Caenorhabditis elegans: one gene and its partners. The protein of the gene in region 3 purifies or fractionates together with the protein of the main gene of each other region. This does not show direct contact. Each region holds a gene or a part of one and is shown on either strand. Other genes may lie near its edges. The genes, in order: clec-59, ZK1053.4 and spat-3.

Region 1 (3,757 bases), on a different chromosome or scaffold from region 3:
TCAATAATTTCTCATTAACTCTTACAACTCTCCAAGTGCCAATTTGTTTTCTGTACTTTTCATTTGCCGGTCATTTATTTATTTTTTCTTACCTTTTATCTTGTTCAATATTTTGTAATTTTCCGCTTAAAGCAAAATTTCCCGTGTTTTTTATTGTTGTCCTTTCTAATTCCTAATCAATAAATTAATCAGTATAACTGAAAGATCGTTAAAGTTTGTCTCACAATTTTATTCATTAAATTAAAAGCAATCAAAGAATTGAATTTATTTGTTTGACAACAATTGTACATAGTATGAAGAAAATCAACATTAATAATAATAAATTACATATAAAACTAATGGTTTGAAATGGAATCACCTCCAGAGGAACAGTAGTTATTAGTGTCACAAGCAGCAGTTTCACATACATAGTTGGAGGCAGCTGCGAATTGATGAACGTTTTGCCATCCAATTTCCAAATCAACAGTTGTCTGTCGATTCAAAACAGTTGTCAACGAGGAATCAGATATTGGATATCCTGAATTCCAGATTTCATAGTTCTGAAGTTGTGGTTGTGTCCAATCTTGTGGCTGATCCCACTGCCACATTCCATTGACCTTGTTCAGTCCGATGTGATAGCTTAATGGAAAATGGAAACCAGAGAAGTTTTTGACAGATGATATAACAAAATTGTGTTTCCTGTTGTCATATTCATTGAGAAGATATGAATTTCTCCATCTATTACGGCATGATAATTGAGCAGCACGCCAGACGGCAGTCAATCCAACTGGAAGAATGCAGATTCCGTAACGGTAAGAATCCACGTCATCATGCAAAGCACGGTATTGAATCCAAGAAGTTGGACAGAAGCAATTTGCTGAACAATACGTGTTATTTCTTTATAAAATCAACTCAGTTTGAGATACCTTGAAGTAAAAATCCTTGAATTTCTCCGATAACATTCAAATTTTCATTCGAGAGATTGTGATAAGGAGTTGCAATTTTCTCGAGATCAACAAGAATGTCTCCGTCTTTATTTTGATCATATGCCACGGTGATAATTGTAACTCCAGAGGTTTTCAAGCGTTGAGCAACTGGAACTGGATTCAAGTCTCCACTTCCTCTGAAATTTTTTGGTTTTTAGTTGGGATTCCAAAAAATGCAACTCACTTGTATGTAGATGCATATACAATCACAACCTTCTGATAATGAGCACGGTTAAATCCATGCTTTCCCGCTTGAAAAACCTTCTCGGCTTGTGAAAGCCCTCTGGCAAGATATGATTCTTCAGAAGAGCTTATTGTTGCCAAAGCAGAGTTAATTCCACTATAGATATCATCAATTGATTGGAACTTGTTTAGATCCGCCGCCTGGAACAATACTAATGAGGAACAACAGTTTAGGGAAACGCTTACAGTTGTGGCATCAACATTGTATGTCACTAGTGCTAGTCTTGTAGTCTTTGGACTTGTCGGATTAGTGCCAATCTGTGTATTTTTACTGAATATGGAAGCAATATTTGCAGCGACCTGAAATATGCTCTTTTCAATAGAATAATTTGATTAGAATTACCGTACACTTGTCAATCCTCCCTTGGTCATTCCAGCAGAGTTATCCACAACAGCTACAACATCCAACCATAAATTACTCAAATCTTGTCCACATATGCGATCCGTATAGGACGAAGAAAGGTATGCTAAAAGTTACTAATTTTGGCAGGTAATTGATTGAAATAAGACTTACCATGAAACAAGAAGAAGAGCAAACAAATGTTTTTACTCATTTTTGCAAACAAATGAATGATTATTTTTCTCAATTCATTCTCTCTTTTATACACATGGAAGTTTCATTAAAATGATAATACACAAGATGCAGAGTGTATGTTTGAATTGAAGTATCCCAGACACACCTTATTACTGTCTCTTGTTTTCAAAAAAAACCAACGGATGAAACTTTGTTGTATTGAGGAATTATTTAACTGATAACACCACTGGTAACTTATTTTCGTACTACTATTTTTGAAAAGTAGTTGCAATGTTTTGAAATGCCGTACTAATTGAAAAAGTACGGGAGATTTCATTTGTTGTGAAACAATTGGTTAACGTAATTTTTCCTTCAAAATTATTGGTGAACAGTGTTGCTAAAAATTTTTTAAGTTGTAGCAAACGAAAAGAGAAAAAAGAAAGTTAATTATTTATTGAGAAAAGCCGAATAAATTTATTTCAGTTTTTGCTAGATTGTTAGAAATTTAACTTCACAAACTAAGAGTTGAATTATCAGTATCACAAGACGCAGTCTCACAAACATCTGCATTGAATGGTTTAATATTCTGCCATCCAGTCACCAAAAGTCCGCTTATTCGTTGGTTTGAAACACCTGGATTCCAAATTTTTATTACAAAGAGGGAGAAGCAGTACTAATAAAATAAATACGGTCTGTAGAATCAGAATTTATTATTATACAACAACAAGTATGTATCGTGTATATTAGTGTTTTACGGAAATTTCAGCAAGTCCAGCTTCGGTGCAGTAATTATCAGTATCGCAAGATGCCGTTTCACAAACATAATTGGCTCCAGTCGTCAGTGGCTTGATATTCTGCCATCCAGACTGCAGTTGCACACTTGATTGTTGATTCAGAACTCCTGTGAGAGTAGAGTCCGAAATGGGATATCCTGGATTCCATCCTGCATAACTTTGAAGCTGTGGTTGAGGCATTCCTTGTGGTTGATCCCATACCCAGACACCTTTGACCATACTGAGTCCGTTGTGATAAGTTAGAGGTACACTGAATCCTGTGTAATTGCTCACTGCAGTCAGGACATAATCGTGTTTGTTCGAATCGAATTCAGTGACAAGATATGCATTTCGGTTCATGCATGAAGATTTGGCAGCGCGCCATACCGCATTGAAACCGACTGGAAGAATGCAGACACCGTAGCGGTAGGAGTGAACATCAGTGTAAGATACACGGTATTGAATCCACGAGTTTCGGCAGAAACAGTTCACTGAAAATAGTTTGTATTGCTATATAATATAAGTTCCTTTAACAAACCTTGCAGCAAAGCATCCTGAATCTCTCCAATAACTTGCCCGTTGTCTTCGGTATTCGTGAAGTTGTATGGTGGAGATGCAATCTTTGCCAGATCTGCAAGAAGAGCACCGTCTCCGTCTTGATCATATGCCACAGTAATAACAGTCACTCCAGAAGTTTTCAGTCTTTCAGCAACTGGCACTGGGTCCAAGGCTCCGGATCCCCTAAAGACAAGCAATAAATGGTTGCACAAACTGTCTAAAGAACATACTTGTAAGCTGATGCATAGACAATCACAACTCTCTGATAATGAGTACGGTTGTACCCTTGTTTGCCGGCTTCAAGTACATCTTCTGCTCTTGCAAGCCCATTTGCTAGATATGACTCTTCGGAAGTGCTGACTGACGAAAGAGCACGGAAAACATTATCGTAGACGTCATCGAGTGATTGGTATTGGTTAAGATCGGCTTGCTGTAACATTTTTAATGTCTCGAAGATTTTGATACTGATAACGTGGAGTATGGTTGGTGGAAGTTTGTAAATACATAATAATTCCCAGTTCATGAAAGAAGTTACTGTAGTTTTTCTTGATGCAACAATTGTGACTTAAAACTATTGAATTAAAATCTTACAATCGCCGCAGCTTTGTTGTAGGTTACTAATCCAAGTCTTGTGGTTCTTGGCTCAGAAGGATTTGTTCCAATTCGAGTACCACTACTGACGACTGAAGCAATATTAGCGGCAA
Region 2 (3,757 bases), on a different chromosome or scaffold from region 3:
GGCTGTGGAGGTGGATACAGTGAGTATGCACCTGATCGTATCTTACGATGAGGGAAACTTGCAGTCTCAGGATACATTGGAGGAGGTTTCAAAATTGATGTTTGCACGGGACTAGGTTCTGTTGAGATCGATGATGTGTTGAGAGATTGAGAGCCTTTATCTGAAAATTACCTATTGAAGTCAATTAATGCAGCTGTTGAAACATACTATACGTAGTACTATGCATGTTCTTCCTCTACGATTTTGAAGGGAGGCACAATTATACAAAATGGTCTCTAGCCGCGCGTTTTGAACTCACAGCAGGGATGGGTAGCAAACGATTTTTTTCCGGCAAATCGGTAAACCGGCAATTTGTCGATTTTCTGAATTTGCCTGTTTTCGGCGAATTGTGGTTTTGCACAGTTTTTTTTGGAAATTTCAGAATTTTAATTTCAATCGGTAAAATTGTACGCATCCTATAAATGTTCCTACATCTATATTGAAAAGTAAAAAAATTTTGGGAAAATATCTAAAGAAAACCGGGAAAAAAATTTCAAAATGGCACTGGTTGATGTGTTTCCGTCTTATAAAAAAATCCTTCTGAACACTTCCGGCAAATCTGATATCCGGCAAACGTCAATTTGCCAGAATTGGAAAAATCTTGTGGGCTAAGAAAAAAGTGAGCTAAAATTGAAATTTGAATTTCCGCGTAAATTTTTTTTTGATGGCTTTGAAATTCTTTTTCTTACACTGCCCATAGTTAGCCAAACATGTTTTATACATTTTAAATTGCTTGTACAAAAAATTCTGAATTACCTTCTTTTGATTCTTCTGATTCTTCTGATTTTTCTGATTCTTCAGAAATTGTTACTAACGAAACATCAGAAGACTTTCCTTTAATTTCGCTGAATAAAGTTTCTAGAATTGATGACCGTAGTGAATGATCAGGGGGCCCGGAAGATGCACATTTTGCTAGAAGTTCCGTAGTCTCGTCTATAATTCTTTCAAATGGGCTTGAAAGTCTTGGAGCGGGAGAAGCCTCGCGGCTTGGTTCTGATGGGGTTTCGGGCTTTCTAATCTGAAATTTTTTTTTCAGTTAGCATTAGACAGTCTAATAAACGAACATGACAATTTTTCAGCTGAGAAATGAATTTGTCTACAGTAATATCTATCAACTGATCCGTGGTTTCGACCAGTTTGTTCAAAAATTCTTGACGACTAGCTATAGCATCGGCGATGGACGGCTCTTCGGTCTGAAAATATGAATATTCGCATTACTGAATAGTTTATTGTATGCCTACCTCGCTAGAATTCTGTGTATCGATTTCCTCTGTTTCTTCTTCACGAATACTCGACCCTCCCATCATTTCTCTAAACTTTGTGGGAAAACTTGTGTAAGCGTATTTCAGCTGAGCTTGTCGATGCTGGAAAAAATGAGATAAAAACGTGATAAAAATTAAATTCCAATCTCACCTTAGACCAAGAATCGTACACTTCTGAATCCTTTTTCATATCCTCCATAACTGCTACCTGCTCCGTTACATTCGTCGCTTTTTTGAGTCTTTCATTGAATCCCGACATGCGACTTTGCAAAGTTTCCGTTGGAACGGTAGATGGTTGCATTACAAGACCTGAAATAAAAACTTGTAACAGAATATTTTAAAAACAAAGGAGATTGCAGTACGTGTTAAAAAGTGGACAGAGAGGGCAACAGTGCGATGACGTAACGACTGTTTGGGAGGTCAGGACGCGTTCAATACGCAATGGTCCTCTGTGTACGCTACACTTTTGCCAACCCAAGATATCGATCTTAAATGTTGACCGAGAGAGACAAAAGATGTGTCTTGTTGGAGAATGTATTATTAAAAATTATTAGATACATTTTTTGTAGTAGGGTGGGCGGCAAAAGGGTTTTCCGGCAAATCGGAAATATGCCCAAAATAAAAATTTCCGGCAAATCGGCACATTGCCTGAAATGAAAACTTTTGGCAAATCTAAAATAATTGATAACACAGGGGTTTTTCCATGCTGATACCAAAAAAGAGCAGACCAGTAAAATGTGACTGTCCCCACCAGAGGAGAGTACTTTCTTAGTGTATCTATTAAGGTTGTATGTACAGAATGTGCAAGGGGCCAGGTCACTGCGTCTTTTTGGGCACACTACTGTGTATGAATAAATGACCTATTCTCCCCGGGAGACAAAACATTAGGGGGTATCACTTAAAGAGTACAGTGAAAGAATGGGAAAATGCAATATTCTCATCAAATTTGAATTTTAGAGAAAAGAATCTGAGTTGATAATTGTGGTCAGAATTGAGCCCCCATGAACAATAAGTAAATTCCTAAAAAATTGAGAAAAAAAATTGCCTTAGAGACAAATTTATTCATAGCTAATTTTTTTAAATGAGGAAAAAGCAATCACATTGTATCTTCGACTTTACTATTTGTATATTTATTGAAAAATTGGCATATGTGGTCGAACTCAAAAACTTTCCACTTTGACGCATCTGAAAATTAGTGTTTTTGAGATTGTTTGATCATGAAATTGAGATTAAAGTGATATCCCTACCGAAATCCTTTATCCAACGATAAGAACAAGAGGTACAGTAATCCGCATCCGCAGACGTCTGCAGCAGAGGTCAGAAGTGGAATTGCATGATTGTCCGGATCAATACCGAATGACCAGAAGGCGAAGACTATCAGCTGGGCCAGGTAGAGAATTGTGGATTGCTGGAAAAAGTGGAGGTTCTGTGTGGAAAGTCTTGATCACAGATCTACAAATCTTGATCTACAGTAACCCAACATTACGCTTATGACCATGCAGGAACCCTACACAGGGGGTAACATCAGTACGATCAACTTACTTGAATCAAAACTACTAGTGCATATGCAATGAAAAACCGGAAATCCGTCTCCACCGGCTCATCAATCACAAATGACATTGCAGTCGAGAGCCCGACAAAGAACATTTGAAACGGTAACGCCGTGAACAACAGAAGCCTCGCAGTTCTAGACTCTGAGCTCGCAGATCTGTAGTAACTAATTGGCGATGCACGTTGCCTCCATCCCAGGTCTGATGTCTTGTGTACTTCTAGATGTGATGATATCCTTGATGCAAGGACGGCTCCTCGATTTCCAGCGAGTCCAGAGATGAGTGTTTGATATGCTGGGTAGTTTGGGTAGGTCATCGCACCTTTACTTTGAAGTAGACCCGCACCACAGCTGACCATCGCTGCAAACGCCAGAGTGAAGCACTGTTGCTTGGCAATGCGCAGAGCATCTTCGTCGTTCCCTGGAAAATTTAAGATTTTCGAAAATCAAAAAAGTTGACAAAGAGACTTACATGCTATCATAATCCATAGAGGTATGCTACACGCTGCCACCACAACAATCACCACCGGCACCGAACTTGAAAACCCCGAATATGGACGAAGAAGATAGCAGAAAAAGAGCATCGAGCCGATTGTGAGCATGTCACTGATACTAGCGCCCAGTGGAGCTACAATGTTGTCAGGATTGTAATCATTCTTCCAAGCACAGTAGACTATTGTGAAGAGGACTGAAACAATTTTTATATTATAAAAAATTTTCAAAGTTAAGACATTGAGACTTACATGTTGTACAGATCGCGCAGTTCAGTGCAACCGAGAGAATTGATGATCCCGTCAGGAACAGTGCAGTTTCCTTGTTGTCTAGGTAGTGGTAGGTGTCATTGTGGATTGATTGTAAGCTTGTCGAGTTGGCAAGTGTCGGGTTGTCCAAAGACGGTGTGATTTGC
Region 3 (3,757 bases):
AGAATCTTCACTAGGTGTTGGAATGTCACCTTCGATGAGCTCCGGAGCAAACTTTTTTTTCGGCCGTCCACAAGGCTTCTTTTTGCTTTCTTTGATTAGTTTCGTGGCAACCACTTCACCACTAGCATCCTCATCGAAACTTTCATTCGAAACATCTGATCCATCCGTTTTTGGCACGTTCTTTCTTTTCATCTTTCTCTTCTTCTTTTGCAATTCGTTATCTCGAGAATCGTTATCACTTTCACTGGAGTCACGACTTCTATTCGTTGTCTTTTTACTTGTGGAACACGACGGCTTGGACACGTCTTCATTATCAGAAATCTCAAAGTCAGAGTCCAACATGCTCTCTTCTTCATCATCAAGATCAGTTTGTTCCTCATCACTCGACTTAATCTCAATTGGGAAATCCATTTCACCTTCTTCCAATACCTCCTTTTCTGCAGCTACCGAGGTTCCCTCTTTGTCATTTTCTAGATAATTTGTATCATCCTCTTTCGGAGCACCTTTCTTTGATTCCATGACTTTTCTTACAGAGCCATCTTCATCACTCTCGTGAAACCAGCGAATTTTTTTTCTACCAGCAGATTTCAGTGGACGAGGAGCTTTGAGTTTTGAGTTTGGATCGATTCCGTAGCGTTTATTCCAATCACTTCCTCCCTCAATGTAACCTTTTCTTCCAAAGTAGACGTCTTTTTCGTGCTCTCGATTTTCAGCCATCATGCGACCAACAATGGAGCGGCTCTCAACGACCTGATAAATCAGTTGATCAAAACGAGGATCTTGTTGTAGTTCTCTTTTGGATCCCAGGTTCTGACGACACGTCGGACATGTGTTTCCAGATCGCATAAACGCCACAAGAATACACTGGTCACAGAATCGATGACCGCATTTCTGGAATTAAATTATTAATTTTTCATCAACTATAGTTATTAAAAAACACCTTTGTCATAATAGATCCTTGTATAAGTTCTTGGCAAACATCACAGGAAAAACTTCCAATTACTTTTTGCAAATCAGCTTCACATACACTCTTCCCAGGCAGAACATTGTATTTATTGCGGACCTGAAAACCAGTTTTCAAAATTAAAAAAGAAAATGTGTTTCACTAACCGCATCGTATGCATTGAGTGTAAGTTCGCGGCCTTCCATTCTCGCTGGGTTCATGAGCACTTCCTCGAGATCGTAATACTGCTCACTCGTGGTTGGGAGTTTAATCTCCGGTTTACCCTTGTACGAAGGTATTCCTTCCTTCGCTCGTTGGTACAGGCTTTTCGTCTCACTTTCATTACCCGATTCAAGGAGATTCACACGATGACCTTTGTCTCTAGTGGGTGGGCGGACGGGAATAACTCTGGTAATCACTTTTTTCTTTTCACTCGACGGTCTGGACTCTTCGCTTTTTTCTGAAGCTGATGAAACCTCGGAATCACTTGAAGAATCCGATGTGTTTTCTTCGGCGTTCTGAGAAATGGAAAATTAGAGAACAATTTTATTTTTTCCAAATACTTTTTTTGAGTTCAGTTCAAAAAAATCCAGTTTTCAAAATCAGAAAAAAAATCTTTGTAGTTAATCTATTCATTTTATTATTTGCTTATTTTTATCGTTTAAAGGAAATTAGTATTTGAAACAAAAAACATTCTAAAATCCAACCTCAGCCTTATCTCTTGCACTTTTACTTGTGCTCGGTCCAGGAGAATCATCCATTTTTGAGTTCGTGTTGTGCGAATGACTCACACCTGCAACAAGAGTTTACGTTAAGTGGATACCAAAAAATAAAAGAATATTGTAAGAAAAGAGAGTAGGCGACATTTGTATTTGCATAATTTTGTCGAAGATCGCATTAACAAAACATACGGATAGGAAAATATTTGATGTTCAAGAGGCGGAAGGAGAAAGTGCAATGAAATCTTGGGCAAGGTCAACCTTTTCCCAAATGTTTTGTACTAAACAAAAACTTAAAAAAAAACTAAAGAAAACAACATTTTAGGACTTCGAAGCAAAAATAAACATTTTTCGAGGCAAATATCGAGAAATAAAAATTATATATGAACATAACCTTCCTCTTTTTCTATTTTTTTAAAGATTGCGACTTAAAACGTGAGATAATTACTTCAGAACTACATAAATGACCAAAAAAAATTTGCAGAGAGTAACCATTAATGTCCAAGCTAGGCAACTGGACATTACTGGCTGGGAGAGCGGAGGCTGTGTGAAGAGTGAGCGAATGTGAGAGAGTGGAGGGAAGAGGCACTGTGTCTGTGTGCGGTTTGAGCGCCGAGGAGGGGGGAGAGCGGGAAAATGGAGAGGGCAGCGGGTTGTGTGTGTGTGTGTGTGTGTGTGTGTGTGTGTGTGTGTGTGTGTGTGTGTGTGTGTGTGTGTGTGTGTGTGTGTGTGTGTGTGTGTGTGTGTGTGTGTGTGTGTGTGTGTGTGTGTGTGTGTGTGTGTGTGTGTGTGTGTGTGTGTGTGTGGCCCATCTTTCTTTACAGAGTCGATTTCGTTTTCTAGGCCACCCCACCAAACGCGCTGTGCCAAAATGAAATGGTGAACGCGATGTTGGACACCAGTTGGCTTCGCATCTTTTGATTAGCGGAGATTGAAGTGCCTGGTGATAAGTGACACGAATGATAAGATACGAGTGTAGACCAATACAAAAATGTGCTGGCAACTTTCCAAGTTTTTCGTTTTTGGAATATAAATTATTTACTCTTTGGTTCTAAAATTTAATTGAAAAATCGTAAAAGGTGGAGTTGGAAAATTGTTAGAAAACACTCCTACATTTCTAAATTAACCGAACAATAGTAATCATAGTAAAATTTTCCAGAAATTCTAATTTTTAGTTTGAATTCAAAAAATCATTTCAATTTCAAAAAAAGTCATTTCTCAGTTTTCACCACTTTCATTTTGAGAATTAGAAAAAAAACGTATTTTATACGAATTTTATAATTTTTTAGTGTTCAAAAATTAATTGTATCAAAAACAAAGTGTTTACAAAAAATAATGTTCACACGTTACTTGAAATGCCACAAGTTGGTGAAGCTTCGATAGATATATCTCAAAAAAGCTACGCCAAAAAACAATACTTGAATATTAGAAAGTTTTTGTTGTGAAACTTCAAAAATTTAAGAAATGGTAGAACATACGCAAAAAGTAAGAATTTTTGAAAATTCAGCAATGCACCTAAGTGTACCAATCACTTTAAAAATGTTAAAGTGTGATTGATATCCATCTTATAAAACGTCCTTCACTGGGAAAAAATAAATATAAGATCGAAGGAATCGAACCATGGTCTTTTTTTTTGGCAGACGCGCCCACTCCCCACTAGACCACTGAGGGCGATTTCCAATTTGGTTGGTGTCACGTTACGAAAAGTCACGAAGAGAGGAAAATTTCTGATTTGTATGGTGAGATAGTGGATTTCTGTAGAAATTAGTATCGGAATTTATTTTAGAAAAATGAAACGTCATAACTTTGTTGAACTGGCTCCGCAACAGCTCAATATTTTGGAGTGAAAATTAGTCGCACTGTTTTACGGAAAAATAACTATGTCATGTCAAACTGTAGAATCCCATTCTTCTACTCCCTTGATAGGAAATTTTCATTTTAATAATTCGAAAACTACGAGGAAACGAGAAAAATTTAAAAAGGAAAAAAACAAGTAAAATCAGTCCTTCTGAGAAAGACAATTCACACAAGAAGAGGCTACGGTGAAATACAAATATACGCGGACAGATCACTAAATGTAGATCAAAACTTTATT

Evidence for each region.
Region 1: the proteins of spat-3 (region 3) and clec-59 fractionate together in Caenorhabditis elegans (co-fractionation; one large-scale study listed by BioGRID). This does not show direct contact.
Region 2: the proteins of spat-3 (region 3) and ZK1053.4 fractionate together in Caenorhabditis elegans (co-fractionation; one large-scale study listed by BioGRID). This does not show direct contact.

The regions. Positions count from the first base shown.
Region 1 is NC_003280.10:10,477,687-10,481,443, forward strand, and holds clec-59 (VWFA domain-containing protein), read right to left. Parts: upstream 1,763-3,757; coding exon 1,723-1,762; intron 1,676-1,722; coding exon 1,557-1,675; intron 1,509-1,556; coding exon 1,395-1,508; intron 1,350-1,394; coding exon 1,150-1,349; intron 1,103-1,149; coding exon 906-1,102; intron 857-905; coding exon 336-856; 3' UTR 318-335; downstream 1-317. Other genes in the region: ZK666.4 (Pepsin-I3 domain-containing protein), read left to right, coding at 1-7; clec-60 (VWFA domain-containing protein), read right to left, coding at 2,466-2,986, 3,034-3,236, 3,284-3,483, 3,645-3,757.
Region 2 is NC_003279.8:13,239,514-13,243,270, reverse strand, and holds the start of ZK1053.4 (SET domain-containing protein), read right to left. Parts: upstream 1,617-3,757; 5' UTR 1,603-1,616; coding exon 1,453-1,602; intron 1,404-1,452; coding exon 1,281-1,403; intron 1,233-1,280; coding exon 1,104-1,232; intron 1,058-1,103; coding exon 796-1,057; intron 161-795; coding exon 1-160. Other genes in the region: ZK1053.6 (SLC41A/MgtE integral membrane domain-containing protein), read right to left, coding at 2,545-2,709, 2,844-3,271, 3,323-3,538, 3,594-3,757.
Region 3 is NC_003284.9:4,604,193-4,607,949, forward strand, and holds the start of spat-3 (E3 ubiquitin-protein ligase RING2 homolog spat-3), read right to left. Parts: upstream 1,737-3,757; 5' UTR 1,705-1,736; coding exon 1,651-1,704; intron 1,462-1,650; coding exon 1,111-1,461; intron 1,064-1,110; coding exon 941-1,063; intron 892-940; coding exon 1-891.